Linked DNA regions of Mytilus edulis. The protein of the gene in region 2 purifies or fractionates together with the protein of the main gene of each other region. This does not show direct contact. Links are inferred from orthologs where the notes say so. Each region holds a gene or a part of one and is shown on either strand. Other genes may lie near its edges.

Evidence for each region. The genes of interacting proteins can lie anywhere in the genome.
Region 1: the proteins of AP-4 complex accessory subunit Tepsin-like (region 2) and iron-sulfur cluster assembly 1 homolog, mitochondrial-like purify together in Homo sapiens (co-immunoprecipitation; 3 studies listed by BioGRID and IntAct, with this or other methods). This does not show direct contact. The link is inferred for Mytilus edulis from reciprocal best matches to the Homo sapiens genes TEPSIN and ISCA1.

Annotation. Positions count from the first base shown.
Region 1 is NC_092344.1:5,591,001-5,598,021, reverse strand, and holds the start of iron-sulfur cluster assembly 1 homolog, mitochondrial-like, read right to left. Parts: upstream 3,024-7,021; 5' UTR 2,924-3,023; coding exon 2,843-2,923; intron 1-2,842. UniProt on the Homo sapiens protein: Involved in the maturation of mitochondrial 4Fe-4S proteins functioning late in the iron-sulfur cluster assembly pathway. Probably involved in the binding of an intermediate of Fe/S cluster assembly.
Region 2 is NC_092352.1:20,602,287-20,610,231, reverse strand, and holds the start of AP-4 complex accessory subunit Tepsin-like, read right to left. Parts: upstream 3,003-7,945; 5' UTR 2,950-3,002; intron 2,899-2,949; exon of another isoform or gene 2,838-2,898; intron 1-2,837. Other genes in the region: cholecystokinin receptor type A-like, read left to right, coding at 6,845-7,879. UniProt on the Homo sapiens protein: Associates with the adapter-like complex 4 (AP-4) and may therefore play a role in vesicular trafficking of proteins at the trans-Golgi network.

The DNA.
Region 1 (7,021 bases), on a different chromosome or scaffold from region 2:
TAAGGCTGTATTTGTCATAATAAGAAAAATGAATTAACAAAGCTTGACACGCGTCGTTGATAAATATGTTAAATGGTCCGTGTTAAATGTGATAATCCATGATTAATCGCAATTAACAATTACTAATGTGCTATATACATTTTGAATTAATAAATTAATAGATAAATGCCACACCTCGGTGTTCAATAGAAAACAAATTCTATGTCAAAATTTTAAATATAAAATTACCAAATTGTAAATTTTATAAACATATTGTATTCCGTAACTTAATAAGAAAGATGAATTAACAAAGCTTGACACGCGTCGTTGAAAAATATGTTAAATTTGAAAATCCATGATTAATCGCAATTAACAATTAGTAATGTGCTATATATATACATTTTGAATTAATAAAGCCTGCCACGCCTCGGTGATAAATAGAAAACAAATTCAATGTCAAAATTTAAAATATAAAATTACCAAATTGTAAATTTTATAAACATATTGTGTATTCCGTAACTTAATAAGAATGATGAATTAACAACTTTTAAGCTTGACACGCGTCGTTGATAAATATGTTAAATGGGATAATCCATCACTTATCATAAATCGCAATTAACAATTAATTATGTGCTATAAACATTTTGAATTAACAAAGCCTGACACGCGTAGGTAATAAATAGATTTAACCGATTCAACAGATTAAGAAATTCAGCGCCTTATGTACGAAACAAAAGTTTACAAAAATTGTGCAAAGATGCAATATTTTTTTTAATATTAAAACATAAAATTACCAAATTAAGACGAAGTAAGCCAGATGAATAAGAGTAGGTAGACCCTACTTCTTCTTTCAAACAGGTCAAACAACAGAACGAGGAACAGCTGGATGTTACCAAGAAATCGATGTCTTGTAATGATAACTGTTGACAGTCATAGTGGTACCATGAATTGCAAAAGAGGGACGAAAGATACCAAAGGGACAGTCAAACTCATAAATCTAAAACAAACTGACAACGCCATGGCTAAAAATGAAAAAGACAAACAGAAAAACAATAGTACACATGACACAACATAGAAAACTAAAGAATAAACAACACGAACCCCACCAAAAACTAGGGGTGATCTCAGGTGCTCCGGAAGGGTAAGCAGATCCTGCTCCACATGCGGCACCCGTCGTGTTGCTTATGTGATTACAAATCCGGTAAATAGTCTAATTCGGTAGGTCAAATTCATGAAAGGGAAGGGGATTGTAGTTACGACGTGCGGAACATATCCGATATCATTTGTGAAATGCAAGAGTCACACTGTACTGAGTTCTTGGAGCAGTTCTGTCTGCAGTCACCACAGGGCCAGAAAATCGACCTTTTTAGGTACGAGATTTTGCGTTTTGGCATTTTGACTTTACTGATTAACTTTGAAACTTTATAATAGATTTAGAAAGATTTTTGGAAATTATTTCTTGTTCTATCAATATATACCCTTTGATCAATATCTTTCAATTTTGGAGCCAATCGAAAAGTGGACCAATGATATTAACAGGAAATAAAATATTGTCCAATTATTTTTATCGGAAGTAAAAGATGATCCAATAACATTTACAGGAAGAAATTGTGATTCCAGTACTTTATGGTTTCACGTTTCCATTGTCTAACCCAAGATTTGAGACGTCGCTAACAGAACAAAAATGTGAAATGACTTCATTGGGGACATTGCTAAAAAAACAAAAAGTTATGTAGGACTTCTTTTAAATTTCCATTTCTTTTGACAGCGTGGTTGAATTATAGAAGCCATCCGTTCTTTTCAATTTTTGACAACCTCATTAGTGGGGTTGTGTTTGTTAAATTACTCTTAATAATGACCATAATATAGACTTTTGTTTTACTAGTATTATTCAAAACAAAAATGAATTATAAAATTATATAAGTATGTAAAAAACATGACCCATTCAAAAGATATTGCATGATAATTGATTAAAATCGTACTACAGGAACTTTATGCATTTCAAATAAAATTTAAATATATATATAATAATAAATCAGTCAAAGTCCTCGATCTCTTTCCGTCGGTTAGATTTTGATATTTGTCTCTTGTCTTATTTTTGGTATAACTATTTTATATAAGAAGAAGAAAGAAATGAATAAAATATATATGAGGTATTGATGACGGTGGTTTGCGAAGTTGTCATGTTATAGACTTTCCTTTCCTGTTCGGCGTGTTCAATGTAGATATATTTGATATTTTAAACTTTAATTTAATATGATTTGTTGCATTAATAACTGAAATAATATATATTAAGGTCACAATTAATACAATTAAACAAAAAAAAGAAAAAAAAATGCGCTGTTTAGCGATATGTGGTTTGCAATCGGTGATGAAATTTAGATTTACCGTCTAATTAATATTAGTTCATTCATTTTTTTTAAGTTATTTTAATGTTATGTTGTATATTTAAGTTGTTTTGTTGTTTGTTTTTGTGTTCTGTGGTATATTTTTAGTGTTCTGTGGTATATTTTTAGTGTTCTGTGGTATTCTGTGGTATTCTGTGGTGTTCTGTGGTAAAAAGACGCTCCGTCGTATTCGTAGCTAGCAGAATGAGCATAATTGTTTAATAATAATATATCATTTTTTTAATATCAAATAGCTACTAGCTTTTCGTCGGTTCTCTTCCACAGGTTAGACCTGCCGTATAGTACTATATTATATTCTGAACGTTTATATTATTGTCATTATGGCAAACGTGTGTTGCGTAATTTGTTTTCGTCTGAAATGACCTTCATACGCAGTCATGCTTACCTTAAAAAATTACGACTTTCTAATAGATTATCAAATATTTGAACACAATGCATAAGTTTGAACTACATACCATGACAATTGGTGCTCTGGTTGGCAACATTCGTGTTCTAGTTACTGCTCGGACCGTGGCTCCCACGGCTCGAGAGGCCATTTTCTTTGTTTACGCCGGCTGGTTTTCCTTTGACACAATAATTTCTAAAATCCCTTACGTCTATCATATTTTAAGGTACCAGTCTTATTTTGAGATATAACTGAAGTTCATAAAAGATTCAAATAAGTAAGGATTAGAACGGTCGGAAAACATAACTATTTCACTTTAATAATAATACTTAATATTTTATTCTATAAAATATCAAGCACATGAATTATTACAATACTAAATATATACGATATTTTCCTACATACCTTTATATGTGCACTCGTCTCAGAAAAGATTTTCCTATATACCTTTATACAACGGTATATAGGGAAAAACATTCGGATACGAGTGACTGTGTCCTTAATCCTGTTTTTTATGATAAAATGTTTACAGTATAATATCCATTGTATTTTAGAATATAGTACAAATATCTTAAAATAAGGCACACAATATTTTTTTAAATTCAATCATGATATAATTTTTTTTTATCATACTGAGTAAAATCAGATATCATATCAAGATGAAAGGAAAGAGATGTTTTAGATTTTAAGCATTGACTATTGTTTTGATATTTTAACAAGTTGCCAAATTCAAATTCATCTAATATGTAAACCCAAGCTGCTTTTTTAACATCATAAACTGCCTATGCAAATTATACCCATATAATCATCTATTATTTTTATAATTTTATTGACATGCATAAGATACACACATCATCGTCACATGTATTTCCAATGAGGTCCCTTCTTACTGGTCCAGTTATTCATAGGGACCCAAGACACTCCAAATCGTTTGAAACAAAGTCTCTAACGTTACAGTCTACTTCTACTGGAAAATATCATGTTCCCCAATTCTTCTCTTGGACGTCTGTTACCAATTCCTGGTACTTCGTAAGCTTTCTCTCATGGGATTCTTCCAGTCTTGTTCCCCGTGACACTTCTCTACCAGAATGAATAACCTGTCTGTTGATTCTGGACCACAGCACATGCTGGTCAGAGTGTTGTTGTTAAAATCTCTCTTGGGAAGGTGGCCTTTCCCCAACGTCAGATTGCATCTCCCAGTCATTTGCTGTTGCTAGGATACCATTGGCTTTGCTATACCGTATGTGTTTCTAGATGACTCTCCACCTCTTTTGACGAAGTTGGTGAACTTAAGCCCCTTCTCTATCTAAATCTTCTTCCTCCTCTGTGTGTCCTGAGTGTATGTCCAAGACTGCTTCTATCTTTCGAAGGACTTGATCATGGCGCCATGTATATCTACCATCCTTCAGAGTTGTCCCACAGGACGAGAAAACATGTTCTAAGTTTGCTCGCTTACCGCGCAACTTAGTTTATTTTCGATCTAGTTTGAATTTCCCTTTGGTAATGTTTGGTATCTTCCGCCCCTCTTTTACAACTAGGATCTTCAATCTGTTTCCACATAGAAAGGTGCGTGGGTGTTAGTAGTACGTCGTATAGTGATCTTAGTAGGAAGCTTATTTATGTTGTGTCTTCTGTACTATCATTTTTCTGTTTGTCTTTTTCTTTCTAGCCATGGCGTTGTCAGTTTATTTTTGATCTAGGAGTTTGAATGTCCCTTTAGTATCATTCGTACCTCTTTTATCATCTGTCCGTCCATTCTCCACATCTCATGCAAACATATCTTTTTGGTCTTCCCATTTCATATGTTGCCCTTTTTGTTTCATACTGACGGCACTTGCCATAATAGTTGCTGAATGTAGCCAACACCAAGTCGTCCTCGCCCGATGTTACCACTCCCACTATGTCTCTGTCACTCTGTGTCTAAATCGGCTCTCTACATCTTCTATAGCACTCTTGGTCACCCATTTCCTTCCTATCCTAACATCAACATTTGCCTCTAAGTCTTTCACCTTGTCATCTTTAATGTATCTTAGCATCATAACTTGTCTGGTTTTGGTGACTTTAATAAACTTCTCTAATAGAAGACAGTGGTAGTTGAAGTTTTGAACTGGTGCTGTACAAACCATTGCTGCTAAAACTCTTTGGAACTCCAAACCATTTGCGTAAGTTGTTGAACATCCTTTCTAAACTTTCAACTTTGGTTAGAGGTACTTCGTACATCAACAGAGGCCATGTGATCCTTGGTAATATTTCATACTTACCCAATATTTTGACTGTTTTCTCCATAAAAGAGGGACGAAAGATACCAAAGGGACAGTCAAACTCATAAATCTAAAACAAACTGACAACGCCATGGCTAAAAATGAAAACGACAAATAAACAACAGCACACATTACACAACATAGAAAACTAAAGAATAAACAACACGAACCCCACCTAAAAACTAAGGGTGATCTCATGTGCTCCGGAAGGGTAAGCAGATCCTGCTCCATATGAGGCACCCGTTATGTTGCTTATGTGTTAACAAATCCGGTAAATAGTCTAATTCGGTAGGTCACAATCATGAAAGGGAAGGGGATTGTAGTTACGACGTAAGGAACATATCCAATATCATTTGTGAAACGGTTATTCCATAACGGTCAACCAACTCGTGATGGCGTCCGTAAAATTTACAAAGGGATGATTTCAACTTCACCATTTGGAACTCTTGGATTAATGGCTTCCTTGTGAACAGCAACCCTCTATCAAGAAAATCATGATAGGAAACGCAAGCACGGGAATATCGTATCAATTGGTAGGTATAAACCCCGTATGCAGGTGCTGCTAGAATGTTGCTACTTAGAAATGGAAAGTTCACAATTGGAAAGCTGAAATCATCTCTTTTGTCGTAAAGTTTTGTTTTCAACCGACCTTCATTGTCAATTTCTAGATGAAAGTCAAGATATGAGGCCGACTTAACTGCATCTGTCGTATCCTTTATCTCTAGTTCGATGGGATAAATACATCCAACATAGCCACCAAATTTGGAATTATTTAGTGAGAGAACATCATCTATATAGCGGAAAGTAGAGTTAAAGGATGTTGCCAACTTCTTATCTTTCTTCCTAAGAAGTTCCTACATGAAGTCAGCCTAATAATAATAAAGAAACAAGTCGGAAAGTAGAGGGGCACAGTTTGTTCCCATTGGAATGCCGACAGTCTGATGAAAAACACGTCCTCCGAACGTAACAAATTTGTTGTCAATCAAGAAATCAAGCATATTGATAATATCAGTTTCAGAGAATTTTTTGTTTGAAGCAGAGTGATTCTTTACAAAGTAGGATTTGTCTCTCCCTAAAACAAGATACTTGTATCAACGATGGCCATTCTTTTTTATGAAGCAAAGCAATACCAACTCTTTCAATTTATCTGTTAGTTTGGAATGTGGAATACTTGCACATGTGTAAAGAGTAGAAAAGTCAAATGTTTTAATACTGTTACAAGATGAAATAGAGTTAGATTGTATGTACTCTAAAAGATCTTTGAAATTTTTAAGTATCCACATTTGATTCACGACCCCTCTAGAATAGGCAGATTCACAATAACTTTGAAGCCCGTCTTTGATTGCTGATAAAATAGATGTTAATAATTTAGAAAGAGGTTTCGTGGAGCACTTGGAAGACCCAGCTATATACCGTGGTTTGTAAGGACACTTATGTAGTTTAGGTATCCAATACAGTGATGGAAGATCCAGTTCTTCATCTTTGGTTGAAATTCCAAAGGAACACAGAACAGACCTATGATTATAGTTGAAATGATGTATCCTCCAATTCGGATCTTTCTGTCCTGTACCGTTTCTTTCTTTAACAATAGACTCCTTGACTTTGAAGGCTTGAAGTTCATGCGTGCCCAGTCTATAAACTCACATAAATCTTACAGTATCCACTTAGCTACCAGAACTGACTTTGCTGTTATTTTATCATGCCATCCATAAATACTCTTGTTGGTGGCCGACTGACCCCAGATGACATTACGGACCCTCTGTTCATCTGATCTGCTGATTCTACTAGTAGATCCATTGCTGCTGCGAATAGAACTATCGATATGGTACATCTTGTAACAATTGCCACTTCTTGTCTCTGCCACGCTGTTGTGTAGTCTGCAACTGTAAGCCTCATTATAAAGTTGTTGAAATAGTATAGTGCTGAAGCATTTGTCTACCCATAGCAGGTACTAGTATGTGGTATTTCTTCAAGGTTAAGTCTACTAG
Region 2 (7,945 bases):
TGTCAATTTAGTGTCATTATGATCTCTAAATTCTAAAGTAGTGATTTACCGCGAAATGCAATGGCTGAGCATTGAATAGAACATTTCACCTAATTATTAGGGGAAAATCATTAAAGTATGGTATTTTTTATTTTTTATTCCTGCAAAATAAAATTAAAAAAATAAGATGAAATACTAGTTGCAGCTGAATTTTACGATAGATTTCATTCACAATACTAAAATTTACAAAGAAAAACGTATATTTGAGTTAGAACAAATACATTTTAAAATATTTCTAAAACACCCATATTAAGGGGAAGTTACTCTTCGTGATTTTAAATTTCAACTAACCAAACCCTGCAAATCGGCCGTAATTGCGTGACCTGACTGGCGGCCTGTTTTGAGAAGTTTCACTGAAACGCCGTTACGGGGACGAATCAACTTCGGGCCGATAATATATGGGGCGAGATTGACACATTGACGGAAACGGACTGGCATACGTCATCAAAATACGCTGGATAAACAAAATGGAGAATCACAACGCAAATGTTTTCAGATAAGTATTTTAATTTAACCTATAATAATTATAATAATTATAAAATGCAATTTGTTTAGGCACTATTATAATACATTTAGGATTAAAATCTCAGAAAACACCAGAGAGTTTTGACAGACAATTAATGTAAGGGAGCTACCATTTGATTTTTATGGGGGGGCTAGGATGAAAAATTGTGTCCTGCATTTTTTTTTAGTTGTAATCTCTGTCCTGCCTTTTTATTTTTCACTCTTTTCGGTCCTGCCTTTTTTTTTTTTTAGTTTATCCTGACTTTTTTTTACCTAAATTGTCATCCTGACTTTTTTTTTTTGCAAGTGTCTCATCCTGCCTTTTTTTTTACTCAAAATTCCTGTCCTGCCTATTTTTTTCAAATTTCATCCTAGCCCCCCCATAAAAATCAAATGGTAGCTCCCTAATGAATGTATGTGGTGTTGTCACATTCATGTACAAAGAGAAACTGTAGGTTAATAATGTGGAGTCAATAACTTTAAAAAAATGCACTACCACATTCTACTTTATAATGTAGAAATTAAATTAGGTGAACAAACTTGGTGAAAACTATAATCTTCAAGGGATAAAAAAGGGGGGGGGTCTTAATTTGCGTTTAGGCTTCCAATGTAAGATACAATACATCTGCAAAATCAATAATGTTTCTATTGAATTTATTGCTTCATAACCTCTTGAACAATTGATTCTTTGTGGATATTTTTGTACTTTTAGGGGATTAAATATGAGCTGCCAGCAATTATATGAAACAGATTTTATGCAGACAACATTTTAACACCTGTATTCAGCAATTCTAGTTGGAAGTATAGAGACAGCAAGTTTTAAATTACAGAAAGGAAGAGAAGTTTATATCTGACACATTAGTTTTAATATTATAGTTATTAAATCAGTTTTTGAGTGAGGTTTTATTAAGCTGACCATAGTCAATGTTTTTATTCTTAGGTTTTATTCCGTCATCATAACCATGCAGGCCATATTTTTTTCATGGATAGGATGTTAATATTATTATTTATTTAAATATTTGAATATGATCAGATAAACGATTAATGTGTTTAATCCATAATGCATGGCAATTAAAGCACCAATATTGAAAAAAAACAAAATATACTAATATTTGCATTGATTTTTTTAATGACATTCTGATAAGAATGATCTCATTTGTTTTTTCCCCACAGATCTTTGATATAAGTTAGCTCATTATCATGTCAAATGTACAATGTATGCTTATCATTAACTTTTAACATGTTTGAATTACCCACCTGGCCATTAAAGTCTACATTTAAGGTTTCAATTTGTGTTAAAATCATGAATTTTTATAATTTTATCTGTAAAGTCACTTTTATTGATCTACATGAATTTTAGATCCAATAGCCACCCATTTATAGTATGGATCCCAATTCCAACCTTATCAAGCAATACGGGATGCATGGTTGCATGGGTGTTTTACTATTTCAAAAAAATGTGATACATACATGTACTACAAACGGGTGGATATTGGATCAATACAGTGGCGGATCCAGAACTTTTCATAAGGAGGGGGCACTCCAGTCATGCTTCAGTGATTCCCTATATGATCAACCAAATTTTTCCAACGAATTCATATTTCACAGCTATCATGATTTAAAAATATTTTAAACTTAAATGTCTGTATTTGCTTTTGGTTTTCAAAAAACCTCTCAAGGACACTTATTTCAATATTCATGGTTAATCTCCAATATTCAACCATTCAATATTCATGGTTATTCTAGATTATTCAACCATTCAAATGACAATATTCAAGGTTATTCTAGAATATTCATCCATTCAATATTCATGGTTATTCTAGAACATTCAACCATTCAATATTCATGAAATATTCACATTCAAGGTTATTCTAGAGTATGTATTTAGCATTCAATATTGGGATAGATATATATTTTTCATTCATGGTGATTCTAGAATATTCTATCATGCATTATTCAAAGACATCCTATTTCATATTCATGAATATTCTATAGATAATTATTCATGTTAATTCTTGGTTATTCAGTTCATACAATATTCATGTATATTCAAGCTTATTCAGTTCAAACAATATTCATGTATATTCAAGGTGCCATTTAACATTCATGAATATTCATGAATATTCATGAACTGTTACCTTGAATATTCATGAACATTCATGAATATTATTCATGAATATTCATGAATTGTTCATGAATATTCATGAATTATTCAAGGTCAGGAAAGCAGGGATAGACTCTAATTTGAGAATAAAGGTATTATCTGTCACTAAAAAGAGAAAGCATTTTTATACTACTGGTGCAATGTTTTATGTTGATATTTGTTCAAATAAAATCCTATAATGGTCTGATGACCAGAACCAAGGGTATTGAAATTATGATTTCCAACAAATAATATTTATTTACCTTTTCTTTTTGGTTTTTGGTCATATTAAATCTTTATCAAACAACCGCTTGTTTTAATGGTTTATTCAAAAACCATAACAAATTTATAAGAATGCAAAGCTCTACTATTATCCTATTTCGCGTTTTTTTACTTTCAATCCTAAATTTTTTTTTAATCGGATAAGCTTTAAGTTTTGTGTTAACCAGTAAAATCAAAATGTTTAAAGGGTCCGATGTGTAATGTTAGCTTTTTAATAGTATGTTTTCATACAGATGATTCAAAAAAGTGTACTGAAAGTATATACTACCAGAGTCTCTGATACTACCGGGGCTCACCGTTTTGTTTTGGTGTGCAAAGTAACATAAAATGCAGGGAAAAACCGAATACTTATCTGTAGTATGATTAATCAGGGATAATGAGAGCATATACAAAGTAGAGGCTCCAAGAAGCCTGATTAGCTCACCTGTCAAATTTGCATCAAATTGATAAAATGCTTATCAAAAATAAGGAGAGATGTGAAAGGATTTCCGTTGATAAAGCTATTCACAAGAGTTCCAGTCATGGATAAAGGCGATGCACAAAAATACTAAAAATGAGTACACATCATCAAGCAAGGACAATAACTCCTTTAAAAAAATCAGCTAACAATTCTGGTCAATTTTGCAGTTTCTTTCAATTCTACTAATTAAAGTTTCGGTTAAAATTTAAAAAAAGGTTAAAAATTTGCTTTTAAGCGAAATATATAACCTCTCCTGGGGGTCAAATGACGATTTTGGCCATGCAAATATCATTTTTATGCCTGATTACAATTTCCCCTTTATTTGTTATCGTTTTGAAGATACTAGTCAAACTCGAAATAAAAAAGAAGGTGAAAATGGTCATTTCAGCGCAATAATGCCTTATCAAATGTTGTCTTGACAGTTTGGTCTAAATGAATGTTATACCGATCTTGACATTCTGAACATGCGTGTCCTGTATGCCGAGGATTTATTTTCTTAAGCGATATTAGTTTACAAGATAACTTATAGACAATACATCAATTATATCCTATCTCCCTTTATAACCTTGGCAGGTTGTCGTGAATCATTAGACACATTTTTAAAGAGAAATATCATAAGGATGATTGTGGTCAAGTTTGTTCAATCTTGCTCAGTAGTTTCAGATGTGATGGGGAAAAGCTTGCAAATATCAATTTGGCAAGTTGAGCTTACAAGAGAAGGACGAACTAGAAAGAAAGAAAGAAAGAAAGAAAGAAAGAAAGAAAGAAAGAAAAAAAGAAAGAAAGAAAGAAAGAAAGAAAGGAAGAAAGGCAGCAATATTTATCAACAATGACTACAATCAAGTGATGCGGATGCAAAAAAATGAAAGATCTGATGATAAACACTAAAAGACAGACGGAAACAACAGAGAGTAACATTTTCTACAGATTATTTGAGGTTCAATAACCAGTGATGTCACCTTCAAAACCAACAAGCCAAATAAACCAAAAAAGATAACAAACCCAAAATCCAGCATCCATGCACCGACCAATAAAGAAAACCCCATTTTAAATCAGTTACTCAGTTAATCAGACCCGCTGTAGACTGAACATTCTTTTATAGTTGAATATAACATATGAGTTTTTTTTATTGTTGCATGCCGTATGGTTCTCACACGAAACCCATACAGATGCAGATACAGAGGCGGGGTTAGGGGCAAAGGGGACCCTCTTTTGTGGAAAAGTTTTTAAAAGTGTTTTTTTCTTAAGTCTAAGAATTCAATAAGATATATTGCAACTTAAAGCGAAATAACTCCCTTTTATGTGAATTTCATACCTTTATGTCTTGATTTCATGATTATAATTTATTCATAGAAGTATAAATTCTACATATACATTTACCCTAATGCACATGTACTTTCGATGTGCTTACACAATTACAATGCCTTCTAAATCCCGAATTCCACAAGGTTTAGTTTTGTGTATGTCGTAGGACAAGTCAGCAAACTGTTCCTCATCCCCTAAAAACCAGGTTCAATAATATAGTAGTAATAAGAAGCGACAAACAGTTGAACAAACAGCTATAGTGGTTTAAAAACATTGTATTATAAAAATATAAAGTATAAACAACTTATGACTGGAGGGAAATGATGAAGACGTTTACTGCATGGACAATCACATGGTGAATTAATTCAATTTCTGATAAAAGATGTATACACACTTGGTATTCAATAGCTCCAGGCCCGTGTCTTATACAAATTAATAAAATATTTCATTCTGATGTCCAGTCCTATAAAGTGTAAAGACTCTTTCATTTCGATCATTAAAATAAATGCGCCATCAAAAAAGTTAAAGTCTGTTCTAATTTCTAATTAAAATATATACTTAGTAAAGAATTGAAGTATATATATATTTCTGAAAAAAATTATAAAAAGTGCTCTAAATGGTACGTGTTGATTTAAATATTTATTTATTATAATATTTTGATTGTTGTATGCTGAACAGTCAGTGGCCCAGAAATAAATACAGGGCGAGAACAAAAAATATCAAACAAGAACAATACCGTGTTTGTGCCTGTTTTGAATCGGGGTTCTTGGAAGAACATATTCCTGTGCCAAAAAATCCTACGTGGACAAATTTATTCTTTGTTATAGTTGTAACCAATCAAAATGCATAAATATATAAAAATAAGAAGATGTGGTATGATTGCCAATGTGACAACTCACCTTGAACGGAGCCCGTACCGCATGGTAAAAAATGGAAAACAAGACGTTTAATAGTTTCATGCGTCCGAAAATGATAGAGGGACGTGACTGACTATTTAACTATAGAAGGGATTTCACTCTCTTTTTTTTCCTTGTCACTTTTTAGAAGTTTGCCTGTTCCACTTTTCAGAGCGCTCCTTCATTACGTATGTACATTTTCAATCTATGTGGAACGATCAATCACTGTGCACAGTTTGAATAATGTTGATGACAATTCGTGAAGATGGAGGTGAAACACTTGGAACCCTCTATAATACCCATAACAACAATGATTAAGTTCTATACAAGGCAAACACAAAAATCTGCCAAAGATTTGATATCCACTACTGACGGACTGAATTGAGTCAAAGTTTAATTAAGCATGTTTTCACATCTGATGGCCAAGGTTACAATAAATACAATGAAGTATAAAGATAAGAAGATGTGGTTTAATTGACAATAAGACAACTCCTTCACCAGAGACAGAATTGTCACCATACTGCCTTCAAAATTGAACAAAACCCATACCGCATAGGTTCTGATTCGTTTCTGTCCCGATACTTTTTCTAAAGATGCACTTTGGTTCCAATTTAACATTGCTGTAAATTATTTCCTGTTTACTAATAGACAGTAGCAATAGTTATCTTAATTTACCAAAATGTCAAGAGGACATACTTTTCCTGTTTAATCTACCATCTCTATTTAACCTAATCAGGGTAGAAAAATATATAGGATTAATAAATCTCATAAATATATGTAATAATTTCATTATGAGGGATTTCCATGTCAGGTCAATTTGTGATAGCCAGTTCATTCTGCTTAACTATTAATACAAATTACTACAAAATGACCTATCTGCGCTTATTAACCTAGAAAGGACTATGAGAATATTATGTTATTTTGTCGAGTAATGATATTTAATGCTCTTTAATCACAGCAGTAGCTGGTTATAATCACCCTAAGGTTTCTTTAATTTTACGCTACATGGTCAAGATTTAACAATTTAGACGAAAAGTATTTAAATTCACATTTTATACATACTCAATACTTATAAATACTACCTACATTTCAATTCCAACGTCAGATGACCAAGTTTATACAACATTATTTTATATGAAATGAGGCATTTCCTTCCTTTCTGTCTGAGTGGTATTTTATAACATTTTGTGGATTTTTCTTTGGAATATTCTGAACATGGATTCTAATTATAATCTAACTCTACAGTGGAATCAAGATTATTACGACAAACTACTTCCGAGTGTTTTTCTTCAAGGTGTAATTTTTCTGCTTGGATTTATTGGAAACATAATTGTTCTCATGGTATATTTCTTTCGAATGAAAGCAAATCGAGACGACCGCTATTTCATTCCGATCTTGGCAGTTTTTGATCTAATATCCGGCACAGTTGCATCTGTGTTTTATGTATTGGAATCTATATATTTTGTGGATTTTCCATCCACAGGACTCTGTAAAGGTCTTCTTTTTGCAATGACAAGCACTTCCAGTTTATCGGCATTGCTTCTTATAGCCATTGCTGTTCAAAGATATTTGAAAATATGTAAGCCGCTAGGAGAACAAATGGACGAAGCAAAACGAAAAATATGTCTGGCTGTTATCGTTATATTTTCTATTGTTAATTCGTGTCCTGTTTTACTCTTTTCTGGAAACAAATATATCGAAGGAGAATTCAATGGCTTGAACGTTACCGGATGGACGTGTTTTACTGGCTCTGGGCAATACCCAGACTATGAAGCAATTTATTATTACATTATATTCTTTTTAATGGTTGCAAACATACTTACTATTTCATTTCTCTATATCCCTATTGGACTTCAGCTATATCGACATATAAAACTAAAGGATTTACGACGACCAAGCATGGACATTGCTTCTACACAATTTGAATCTATATCGGAAACCAAACCAAGCGATGGAAGCACAGGCGAAATAACTCGCAAGAAAACTATGCACGCAAGCAAAATCAATTTCAACAGCATGTTTTTGACTATTATTATATTTTATCTCGTTTCTTACACACCAACTTGTGTTTTTCTAATCATAAGTAAATTAAACCACAAACTTTGGTACAATATTTCTACAACAGAGATGATAATCTACTTTATTTTACAAAGATTTTATGTGATAAATCACGTGGTTAATCCGTTGATATACGGATATTATGACTTGAAATTTCGCAAAGAGGTTGTCAGTCTTTTTCGTTGCTCATGATTCTTTGTGCATACCGTCTTTTTTTTTTTGTATATTTGTGTATTCTCAGGCTTAGAAAACATTATT